Linked DNA regions of Rattus norvegicus. Each later gene encodes a partner of the first gene's protein in a complex. Links are inferred from orthologs where the notes say so. Each region holds a gene or a part of one and is shown on either strand. Other genes may lie near its edges. The genes, in order: Crhr2, Ucn and Gna11.

Evidence for each region.
Region 2: the proteins of Crhr2 (region 1) and Ucn are in contact, whole or in part, in a cryo-EM structure (PDB 7TS0), measured with the Homo sapiens proteins. The link is inferred for Rattus norvegicus from reciprocal best matches to the Homo sapiens genes CRHR2 and UCN. Residues at the interface, in NP_001874.2 of Homo sapiens: Phe68, Asn69, Gly70, Val71, Tyr73, Ile101, Leu102, Asp103, Asp104, Arg107, Asp110, Tyr113, Leu117, Asn120, Trp166, Leu169, Gln170, Val172, Asp173, His174, His177, Glu178, Thr188, Phe191, Asn192, Phe199, Phe256, Gly257, Lys258, Asp265; in NP_003344.1 of Homo sapiens: Asn84, Pro85, Ser86, Leu87, Ser88, Ile89, Asp90, Leu91, Thr92, Phe93, His94, Leu95, Leu96, Arg97, Thr98, Leu99, Leu100, Leu102, Arg104, Thr105, Ser107, Gln108, Arg111, Ala112, Asn115, Phe119.
Region 3: the proteins of Crhr2 (region 1) and Gna11 are in contact, whole or in part, in a cryo-EM structure (PDB 7TRY), measured with the Homo sapiens proteins. The link is inferred for Rattus norvegicus from reciprocal best matches to the Homo sapiens genes CRHR2 and GNA11. Residues at the interface, in NP_001874.2 of Homo sapiens: Arg148, Tyr208, Leu209, Ala212, Ile213, Thr216, Glu220, Lys293, Lys307, Ala311, Phe358, Tyr359, Phe362, Asn363; in NP_002058.2 of Homo sapiens: Arg37, Ile348, Leu349, Asn352, Leu353, Glu355, Tyr356, Asn357, Leu358.

Annotation. Positions count from the first base shown.
Region 1 is NC_086022.1:85,578,642-85,582,998, reverse strand, and holds the start of Crhr2 (corticotropin-releasing factor receptor 2 precursor), read left to right. Parts: upstream 1-1,535; 5' UTR 1,536-1,750; coding exon 1,751-1,853; intron 1,854-1,983; coding exon 1,984-2,109; intron 2,110-4,357. UniProt on the Homo sapiens protein: G-protein coupled receptor for CRH (corticotropin-releasing factor), UCN (urocortin), UCN2 and UCN3. Has high affinity for UCN.
Region 2 is NC_086024.1:30,956,738-30,959,443, reverse strand, and holds Ucn (urocortin precursor), read right to left. Parts: upstream 1,359-2,706; 5' UTR 1,324-1,358; intron 1,063-1,323; 5' UTR 1,050-1,062; coding exon 681-1,049; 3' UTR 528-680; downstream 1-527. Other genes in the region: Trim54 (tripartite motif-containing protein 54), read left to right, coding at 1-6. UniProt on the Homo sapiens protein: Acts in vitro to stimulate the secretion of adrenocorticotropic hormone (ACTH). Binds with high affinity to CRF receptor types 1, 2-alpha, and 2-beta. Plays a role in the establishment of normal hearing thresholds.
Region 3 is NC_086025.1:8,812,784-8,817,115, forward strand, and holds the start of Gna11 (guanine nucleotide-binding protein subunit alpha-11), read left to right. Parts: upstream 1-1,501; 5' UTR 1,502-1,733; coding exon 1,734-1,869; intron 1,870-4,332. UniProt on the Homo sapiens protein: Guanine nucleotide-binding proteins (G proteins) function as transducers downstream of G protein-coupled receptors (GPCRs) in numerous signaling cascades.

The DNA.
Region 1 (4,357 bases):
TGTCAAGCAAGCAAGTCACCCAGTCCCTATTCTGTAGAAATCTGCATGTAAAAGGGTAGGTCAGAAGTGCTCACCACCTCCTTACTGTGGTATGTGTCTCCTGAGCCATGGCTCTGATTAGGAATAAAGTCACCCGGGGCTGGGGATTTAGCTCAGTGGTAGAGTGCTAGGAGGCGCAAGGCCCTGGGTTCGGTCCCCAGCTCCGAAAAAAAGAACCAAAAAAAAAAAAAAAAGGAATAAAGTCACCCTTTGCACTTGAATTGGTTTCCTTCTTCTCTGTGCTATGACAGTATATGAAGGGCCATCCTTTGCTAGTGAAGGAGACTGCATCCCTGTGAGGACGGACTCAGCCAGTCATGCTCAGACCTAAGACTGCCGAGATTTGGACCGGAGTCCCAACTGTCCATCCAGGAGGCAGAGGACAGATCTATCTGGTAGTCTGTCTCCCTGCCAGTTGGCAGGTCCTAGAGAGAGTCCAGGGCTCAGTCTGGTCTTACCACTTGCTCAGTCTCTCACAAACTCACTTGCTGTGCGAGGGAATGAGGGCACCATTAATATGGAGGCTAGGAAGACTGTACAAAAGCAATGGCAAGTTCTTTGGAGGACCGGCCTCTTTAGGGGGGCTTTGGCCTTCACTAGCACCTGGTCCCCTATGGAGGGTGCAGGAGGACTGGACTGGTTCTAGACCCTCTTACACCATGTCTATAGATGCTCTGGACTGTGAAGGAACTCAGAAAACATGCCACTGGTGGAGAAAAGTCAGGAAGGCTCTTGCCTCAGGCAACATGACAGAAAAGAGAGGCAAAACCGCATCCAGACTGGAAAAAAAAAACACCTAGGCAGGTTCCTCAACCTAGGCCCATCCACAGTTATAGGCCCACCCTGAGCACTCTACAGGGTGCTCACCCCTCCATTCTTGTGACTTTTCTCCACTCCTCAGATAGCCCTGCTTAAGCCAGGAGAAAGAGACCTGTTTTCACCTCTCACTCTATCTGGTGCCCAGGATACTAAAACCATCAAGTCTTCCAGATAATTTTAATTAATGTCTTCCTAGATATTCTCATCTCGCTGCTGGTGGCAAATCTGCCGGTGTGAAATCTGGCGTTGTCACCAGTTCCTGGCTCCTGCTGAGAGCCATCTACCTACTCCATATTTTCTCCATCTCTCTTAGACCCTCTCTGGTAAACTGTCTGCAACCCTCCGGGGCCCCTTCAATCCATTTTCTTCCCCAGGGCACAAATCTGCTGCTGGGCCGACTTGTTGCCCCTATCCATCTCTAGTGTACTCCTTTGGGAGGATAAATTTCAGGGTCAGGAGCAGACCAACTTTGGCTGGCAACGGGTGTAGGAAGGTGGTGTGGATTTCCTGTAGACCCGAGGCCTGCGACCCTCGATCCTCGGACGGGTTATTAGCCACCCCAGACCGTAGATCGTCAGCCCTGCCACCATTCCAGAGACTTCTCTGGTCAAGAGAGCACCGACGGGGCTGGAGATAGAGCCCCGCCCCCGACGCCGCTATTGGTCATGGTCGAGCAGGCGGCCCCTCATCTCCGTGAGCCCCGAGGCTTCTCTTGGCCAAGGTCCTAGGAGTGATCCGATTGAGAGCGGCGCCCCAAAGCTGCCGGGCTGGCCGGGGTGGGCGGGGAGGCACCTGGACGCTGCACTCTCTGGTGGCTCCGCGTCGCGCCAGGTCCCTCGCAGCCACGCGGGGCGCGCACTCCCACTCCCAACGCGCGCGGCTCCGGAGCGCAATGGACGCGGCGCTGCTCCTCAGCCTGCTGGAGGCCAACTGCAGCCTGGCACTGGCCGAAGAGCTGCTTTTGGACGGCTGGGGAGAGCCCCCGGACCCCGAAGGTAGGCAGGAGGCGAGAGAAGTAGCGGCACGCGGGCTTGCTCCATGGCTTTCTTCTAGCGTTGGTCTGAGTGGGGCCCCCGTGCTCGGGCCACCCCCTTTGAGCCTCTGTGCGCTCCCTCCTGTCTCCAGGTCCCTACTCCTACTGCAACACGACCTTGGACCAGATCGGGACCTGCTGGCCCCAGAGCGCGCCTGGAGCCCTAGTGGAGAGACCATGCCCCGAATACTTCAACGGCATCAAGTACAACACGACCCGTGAGTGCCCCTTGCTTGTCTCGTGCTGGCCTCCCAGAAAGGCGGTTCAGGAAGAGGGGAGGGCTCTGAACCCTGAATTGGACACCTACCGAGGGTCTCTGTACCCTGAAGCGCTTATTTCTGGAACTCTGTAAATGTGGGGGCACACCTTCTGTTCCTAACTCTACGACCGCTTCTAACCCAGGCTAAGTGGTGGTTTGCCCAGAGTTCTCATGCTACATTTGGAAAGAACTGAGCAAGAGAATAGGAAATGCTTCCTCCCCTTAGAGGCAAGCTCCCACACTGTTTAGGTGCCTGATGTGCGTCCCTTCGGGTCTCTGTTCATTCAATCCTCTCACATCCCTAAGGCAACACAGCAGACCGATGTTAAGGCCCGAGTCCAGTACCCACAGTGTGACTAAGGGGATCAGACCCAACTACTGGAGAGGAGAGATCGGGAGGGGAGAGGGACACGAGATGAGCTCCTATATCGGGGAACATACCAATCCTAGAGTCCGGGAAGCCAGAGGAGATAGGGGATCATCATTTTCCCTAACCCCTGGCACGCACTTGGCTTGTGAGTCTGGAGCCCTGGGCTGCATTACCTCTGTTCAACCTCAGGTAACTTGTGGGTTTGGATGAGGTCCATACCTCCACCTCCCAGTTAGAACAGCCTTCAGTTTCCTTCCTCCTGGAGAGCCCCCTGAGAGGTACACTACAGGAAAAAGAAGAGGGAAGCGGAGGTTGGGGTGGAGGGGCATTCAATCTGGGGTTTGTGTCAATGTGCACATGTCAATACAAATGGAAGCCAGGGCATGGGAGTCAGGACTGAGCTCTGTGAGATTGTGGGTAGCAATAGCTCGCCCACTGGACATCCTCACCTGTCCAGCCCTACATGCTAATATGGCACTGATGAGACTCTGTGGCAAGCTGTTTGTCTATAGCCCTTACATCCTAGCAGTAGTGTCTGAATTGTGATCTACCTCCTTCACACGTGCATGTCCCAGCTCTCTGAAGGCAAGAAGACCTTCACCTTATAGGTACTTAAAGCAAGGCCACAGTGCCTGCACTAGAGCCAGGCTCTACTCCCTGGGCTCAAGGAGCAGCCTGCTCTGACGAAGCTAAGACTGGATGCTCCTAATAGAAAGGAAACATCTGTGGAGGTAGAGGTGCCACTGACGAAGGTTTCCCCATCATCCAATCAACGCCTGCTAAGCACAATTAAAACAGATCTCATTGAGAGGTAGTGAGGATCCTAACCCAGGAGGTAGGCGAGAAATGCCTTCAAGTTCCCTCTCAGGAATAGCTAATGGCATTGTATTTCGAGGAAGTGACCTCTGTAACACTGGGCAATGAAGATCAGGTACCTAATTCAGAAGCACTGAGGCTAAGGGCCATGCAGGGCAAAGGGGGAATGACGGAGTCTGAGGACGCTAATTGTGAGCTCTTACCCTGTTCCCTCCAAGCAGCCTGGAACCCCACCTGAGCACAGCACAGCATCATATAACCAATCGCTGAACCCCTACTGTGTGCCAGCTACAGCAACTATACTTACAGTATTGAGACTGCCCTTGCATTTGCACTAGACATAAGAGTACAGAGTGTTAACTGCCCTGCTTCAGGAAAATCAGGGAGCTTATGGGAAGAAGGAGAGGCAGGGACATCGCATACCAGACCCCTCCCATCAAGTCCAATGAGAAACTGAAAAAAGGGTCAGGATGCCACTGAGGTCGGTAAATGTGGTAGCAATTAGCCCTTAGTATCTAATGAACAATTTTCTTCATTTGGACCAAAGTGCTGCCTGTACCTTAGGAACACAGGTCTGGGGGTGGGGTGCTGGCTCAGAGAGATACCTAGAGCTGGGAGGGTGCAGTTGGTCAGCCCTGGCTCCTGGCAGCAGTGGAAATACCCAATAGATGCTCTTCCTACCTGGGGCCAGCCCAGCACCTCTATCTGCTGTCTTCAGCTGGCCTTCTCAGTGGGCTCCTTCTTTAAAAAGAGAAAACCACTCAGCGAGGAACCTGAGGGAAGTTCCTAATCTCATCATGTCACGGGCACGCTTTCCCTCCCCAGTTCCCGGCCTCTCAGAAGGCAGATAGTGCTTGAGGATAGGAAACGCTCTGTGGAGATGGCAGTGTCTGCAGAGGGGCTTGTGGTCTGTTAACTCCGCTGAGCACAGAACCTTTACGTGCTAATCGCTGCCAGGTGCCTGAATCACCAGAAGAGCCTACTACCCACAATTCCACTCCTGCGGCCCCCTAAAGACCCA
Region 2 (2,706 bases), on another chromosome or scaffold:
CACTGATCCGACTCTGATCCAGAGCGCACGCCCGGGAGCCAAGGGATGCTGAGGATCTGCGCAGAGACCATCGCGCTACCCATCTCGGCCTCCACCCCCAGGGATGGTTCTCAATAAAGAACTCATGTGTCCCACGTCCCACGTCCTCAGCTCCTTTCACTGCCCACTCCTAGGCTCAACTATAGAAGCAACCTCGCCATTACTCTGCCCTTTCTCAACCCCAGACCATCTGAAGGGGTGGAGGTGAAATAGTCCGAAGTGGCACCTCCTTTACATCAGAGGTGGCCTCCTGAGCCGGAGACCCTGAAAGGTGTCTGGGTTGGGGTCTCAGACCACCGAGTTCCGGGATTTGGCGGGTTGGGGGAAGGGCCATAGGAACTTTACTGATAGGCTGCCTCTCCCATCCCACTACGCATGCTTGTCTCTCCTACCGGCCTGGAGAGCCCCACTCTCCCAAAAGTTCTTACCCTACTGTGGTTGCCGGTGCCCCCTCACCCCTGTAACAGAAGATAGAGGCTAAGCTCTTGGGCAGTTTTATTAAAAAATATCCAGTCAGAGTGTTCAGGGTAACTCTGGGCGGCGCTGCAACGCGGGACTGAGCCAGCTCCGGTTGTGCGCGCTCCAGCCCCGGGGTAGGTGGGGGAAAGGGTCAAGGCTTTCTGGACCCCATACGGGGCCGATCACTTGCCCACCGAATCGAATATGATGCGGTTCTGCTCTGCGCGCTCGCGCTGGCTCTGTGTCCGAGCTAGCTCTAGCAGGGTCCGCAGCAGGTGGAAGGTGAGGTCGATGGACAACGGCGGGTCGTCTCGTCGTTGCCGCTCGCCTGCAGGCTCAGATCCCGCGCGGCGCGGGAAGCGCTCCGCTAACAGCAAGAGGAGTGCGCGGACACCTCCGCCCTGATTCCGCACTCCGGGGTTCCATCGCAGATTCGGATCCTGGACCACATTCGCCGCCGCAGCCGCTGGGCTCCACTGGCTGCTCTCCGGGCGCAGCTGAACCAGAAGCAGCAACGCTACCAGGAGCGTAGCGCGTCCCCTCTGCCTCATGGTGCCGCCTGCCCTGGACACACAGGGGCAGCATAGGGTGAGATGCACTTGGAGCAGTCACAGGTGACACGAGCCCCTTCGCGCACACGCCCAATGTCCCCGCTAGGACCCTCCAGCTGTTGCCTGGTGTCCACAACCTGCCCACCAGCCCAAGGCGCTGTGCCACTCCAGTTCCACCCCTCCCTCCTTTCCCTCCGGGCAGGTCAAAGTGGGTGGGCTTAGTGCAGAGTCCTGGCGGTAAGGGAGTCTGGATCGTTTGCTCCAAGCCACTCACAGGTTATCGGAGTGTCTATCCAGTGCAAGATGGAGCTCCAGTCTCTGTCCCCGGGGACGGGTTGAAGACGCCTTGGGGAGCACGGGGTCGGTCCCGGGACCGCCGCCAGCCTTATATAGCACCGGGACAGCTCCGACTGACGTCAGCGAAGAACTGAACTGATTGTAGAAACAGTGACACTGGCAGCTTCGAGTCCAGTAGCTTCGAGCCCCCAGAGGGGCACGTATCCTGACTTTGTGTCCCTGGAGCTATCTTTGGAAGCACCCTGGCTGTAGAGGGAGAGGCTGACGGAGCCTTAAAGATAGATCTTTCCGGATGCAGACAGAGTCCTTCCCACCACCAGCCTCTCCACAATAGGATAGTCAGGGGTTGGTTTCTCTGCTCAAGTACGGATTGGTAGGATTGTGGAGCTGTCCGTGGTTCTGAATTTCTTCACGGCTAAGAATCTGGGCAGAAGTTCTGGGGAGAACCCTGGGCTGCCAAGACACAGTTCCCTAGGTCGGCTACTGGGTCCCCAGATTGAGATCAGGAATGCTGTGCTGGAAGGGGCTCAGACAACACAGTCCCACCCAAAGCCCCTCCCACCCTAATAGGTCCCTCCCATTCTACTGACCATTGTGGTACAGCAGTAGAAACTAAAATCTACAGGTGTCAGAATGGCATAAAAGGGCGTTCGGCTTTCAGAACTTAACGCACCTCCTGAGTTTGCCAAAGTAAACTTCCTAGGACCCACAGAAATAGTACTTCATACCTTTATCTTCTAGTTAGGATTACTAGGTGAGGAACTAGGGGTGGGGGTACTGGTGCACTCCTTTAATCCCAGCACCGGGGAGACAGAGGCAGGCAGAACTGTGAGTTTGTGGCCAAACTGGTCTACCGACCCGAGCTAATTCCAAGACAGTCAAGATTACACAAAGAAACCCAGTTTTGAACACCCCCCCCCCACACACACACAAGAAATCACTAGTTAGGAAGTGAGCAAGTTCCTGCTCTCACATCAACTCGAGGTGTGGTCAGGTCTCTCACTTCCAAAATCATTGGTGTCTGTAAATGAAAAGCCTCCACTTTAGTTACAGACATGTCAGCCACTGCAGATTCCAGATAATAATGTATCTATTTCTGTGTGTCTATAAAGTCCCAGAGGGGGGTCTGGAAGGGCACTAGGACCTAGAAACATTACGAAACATTTTCTTTTCTTCTTTTTTTTTCTTTTCTTTTCTTTTTTTTCAGAGCTGGGGACCGAACCCAGGGCCTTGCGCTTGCTAGGTAAGCGCTCTACCACTGAGCTAACTCCCCAACCCCACGAAACATTTTCTAGTCTAGGGACGTTGCTCAGTGTTAGAGCACTTGACTAGTATGCCCAAGGCTGGGTTCAAGCCTCAA
Region 3 (4,332 bases), on another chromosome or scaffold:
CATGGGGTTGTGGCCCTGAGCTGAAAGAGGAACTTTGACCTCACTGGGCCACACGGGGGCCCCTTGTCTGTGCCGTGAACTCCTGGGGTGGGGACAGAGGCCCAGATAGGAGAGTTTCGGTGGATAACGCTATAACCCCAATCAACTAGTAAACGGAGACTTTGACCCTCCCCTCGCAGCCTTATCTCAAGGCTGGGCGGTCAGGCAGGGACGGGGACAGGAACACATGCAGCACAGCCCTGGCTTTTAAGTTGCCTTTGTTATTAATGCACCGACTGAGCACTGACTGGAAGGTGGGAAAACACTTCTCAGGTTTGTGAGTTAGTTCACCCTTAGGGGACTCAGATTGGCCCCCCCAACAGGGAGCTTACCTGCCTGAGCTGGGGGGGGGGGGGTGTCCCAGGTTCCACCCCAGCACTGTAAAACAGCAAACATCACACATGGCGTTCACATGTATAGCAGCAGAGGCTGGTGCTTGGTATACAGCAGGCAGACTGTTAATGCTTATTCCTCAGCTGCCAGGAGCCTGATTGACAGCAGGGGCTCCATAACTATCTATATACAAACTACATATAATGTCTGGTATACAGCAGGCACAGCATTCATGTTTGGCACACGTAGTAATATGTGAAAAACACCCAGTTTATATACCCTATACTGAAGGTGACAGTTTCATATGCGTGTTCCCTTGAAGCCTGGTATACAGTAGATGTGATATTAATACCTGAGCTACAGCAGGCTGCCGCATCAACGCATACTCTCCAGCAAGCGTTTTGTTCATACTTGTTACTTGCGTGATATTCGGCGAGTGCTGCACTGTATACAGTAGGACAGGCCTGCTTAAGAATGGATGAGCGAGGGCTAGAGAGATGGCTCAGTGGTTAAGAGCTCTGACTGTCCTCTTCCAAAGGGCCTGAGTTCAATTCCCAGCAACCACGTGGTGGCTCACAACCATCTGTAATGGGATCTGATTCCCTATTCTGGTGTGTCTGAAGACAGCCATATACATTAAATAAATAATATTTAAAATTTTAAAAAGGAATAGATGAGCGACCCTAGTCAGGGCGTTTTCTCACATCCACAGGCGGTGATGGCTTCTGTGGGCGCTCCCTCCAGGCGAAAATTGCAGACTCTCTTCTCGCCTCGCGTTCCCTGCACAGCTTCGGGGAGCCGAGAGGAACCGAGAGGAGCCGAGAGGAGCCGAGCGCAACCGAGAGCAACCGAGCGGTGCCTCCCCGTGCCGAAAAGAGCCGAGTGTAGCCGAGCGGCACTTCCCCGAGCCGAGAAGAGCTTCGCTTCCCGAAAGGAACCGAAATCGGGCGGCCGAGTCCTCCCCATTCCCACAATGCTCGGCGTCCGCGCCCAGCTGCGGGCCGCTCAACCCCTTCCCACGTCGACGCAACCCAAGGTGCGCCTGCGCTGCGCCCTCCAGACCCCGCCCCCGAGTAGCGAGGCTCCGCCTCCGGGTGATTCTAGAGTCCTGTCCCTGCGGCGCGCGCGCGCGCAGCCTTGCGGCCCCTCCCATTGGCCGCGCCGCCTGCCCGTCGCGGGGCCCGTGGCAGCGCTTCAGGTCGTCGGGCGCCGGCGCTCGGTGGCGACGGCTGCGGGTGGCGGCAGCGGCGGCAGCTGCGCTGCACGGCGCGGACGGTGGACGCGCCTCTGGGGCCGGGCCAGGCCTTCGGGGAACTGGGACGAGGCAGGGCCGTGCCGGCGGCGGCCGGGGGACCGCGACGATGACTCTGGAGTCCATGATGGCGTGTTGCCTGAGCGACGAGGTGAAGGAGTCGAAGCGCATCAACGCGGAGATCGAGAAACAGCTGCGGCGAGACAAGCGCGACGCCCGGCGCGAGCTCAAGCTGCTGCTTCTCGGTGAGCTACGTCTCCGAGCTGTGGGACCTCTGTCACTGGGACCCGGTGGGTGCACGGGGCATCCGGGCCTTGCCGGGGTCTCCGCGCGCGCAGGGCGCTGTACCCGCCGCGGTCTCTGGTCTCCGGCTAGTAGCGCGCGGTGACAGCGGGGCGCGACCCTTCCAGACCACAGCCCACGGCCGGTCGGGCCACCCCGGGTGTCCTCGGGGCAACTGGTCAGCGCGTCCTGCAGCGGTCAGCCCTTCCGGGATTGCTGCACCCTGAGCGGTGCAGGTGGCTTGGGCCTGTGGTGGCCAGCTTCTTCCATGTGGTCTCCTGGGCTTAGCCTGTGCGACCCTTTGTGGCCAGCCTCTGTTATCCAGGCCTTGGATTCATTCGGGGTCAGCCTCCTGCCTCTGATATCCGAGGCCAGTTGGCCACGTCGGACCCCAGGGCCCTGGGAGACTTGCTTTCTGTCACTCCTGAGAATTCTTGTACAGAGCTTGCCCCTGGCCCTGCTGCACTAAGTAGACTCTCATTTCCATTGTCCCTAGATCGCCTCGGGTGAACCCTTTAAGCTGTCTTGCCCCCCATGATACCCCTTTGGCTTCCAGGTTCCCCAAGACAGTTCCCAAGGGTTACACCCTCTTCTCAACCTCCAAAGGGTCCTGCTTTGCTCTTGGCTTGTTCTTTTCCTGGGTACTCCCCAGTCTCCCTCTGTGTTCCTTCCATAGAGCCTCTGAATTCTTCCACATTGGAGCTGGGTGCAGGAGAGTGGGTGGCTTTTCTTCTTTGGGCTTCTGTTGCGCCTGAGCTCAGTAGGTTGACAGCAGTCAGCCTTGCAGGCTCCCTTCCCCTGTCCTGCCTCCTGGGGGTCGTCTCCCCAGCCCACCCACCCCAGGGAACTCAACATATGTCTGTCACTCCCTGGAGTTCTGACTCCTCAAGGCCCACCTGTTGCTGGGAGCCAGGGAGCCAAGGTCCTCTTGTTGTCACCCTAAATAAGAGCCCAAAATGAGGGCAGGGTGGCCTGGGCCCTGCGGGGGTTTACAAAACAGACTGGGCAGCTCTGCCTGCCCCTCCCAGTTCCCTGGTGAGCTGCAGTCCAGGGACCCAAGACAAAGGGTGGCCTTGGAGAACCTGAGGAAAGGACTGTGGGAGCCTTTGACTAGAAGGGATGGAGGGCAGTGACAGTTGAACTGTCCCATGGGAGGGGTCAGCACATGTTCTCTTCTGTTGCTGTGGCCCATGTGGTTCTCAGGGTCATGGGGCCTTGGTTCCTTCTCCCCAACATGGTGGGATTCCTCAAAATCTATGCAGATTTCCAGGAAGGGAGGGATAAGAAGAGGACAGAGCAGTCCAGAGCAAACAGCAGTAGCCCCAAGGTAGCCATCTAGGGGGCACAGTGTGGCCCTAGCTGACCTTTGTAGAGGTTCAGCAGCTTTCTGGTGGGCTCAGTGGTAGAAGCTGCCAGGTAAGGGTGACATTGGGTGACTGAGCCCAATGATGTGTCATCCCAGCTCTGTTCTGTCTCCAAAGCTGGCTTTGAAGTCCCCTCGGATTCAGGAGTGCTCCCTGGCCCTCTGTGCTGTGACCAGGCTAAGCTGACCAGCAGCTAAAGGGCCTTGCATTGACCTGCACACAGCACCATGCCTCTACCCTAGGTGATTGGATTCTTAGCTGCCACCTGTGCCCTCAGGGCACCTGTCTGCAGTCACACCCTTCCACAGGAGTCTGGGAATTACTTTATAAGAGCAGAAGGATAAAGGGAGACAGGAGTGAGCTTTGGGCACTGCTCAGGTCTTGCTGTGAGGGCTTCCTGGAGGAGGTGACCATGACCTTGGTTCTCTGGCAGTTTGTTTGTTCCAGGTATTGGGGGTGGCGGTTCTGTGAGACCTGCTCCAACCTCCTGCCTGCAGCCTCACGGTCGCACTGTCCCTCATTTCACATCAGCTGTCTGGATAGGGTGGAGACCCTGTGCCCCACTGCCTGAGGTGGAAGCAGGCCAGGATTGCTGTCCTGGAGCCTGCCCTCCGGAGCAGGCAGGGTTCCCGCCACATACCCTGAGTGGTCCCTTCGGGGAGAGCCCCACTCTGTGTACAGGATTCTGACCTCTTTGTCCAGGTTTGAAGCCACCACCCTCATACTGGGACTGCATCTGTGAGGAACGGTCCAGTCTGGGAGTTTTGTGTTCTGTCCTGTTCTGCCAGTCCCTGTGTGTCCTGGAGAGAGTGTTCAGCCAGGCAAACAGTTGACTACTGGCTTGTTCTCAGGGTGGGCGTCCTGGTCACTGCAGGGTAATGAGCTGCATCCCTAGACATCACTCAGTGTACCCAGGCTTAGACACCCCACCTTGAGCCATCCATGGTGGTAACTGATATAAAATAACCTGCAGAACTAACTGGAGGCCAGTGCAAGTTCTCAGAGCTGAGGCTACACAGGACTTTGTGCCCCTTTCCTGTAGGGTGACACTCAGGTGGCTCA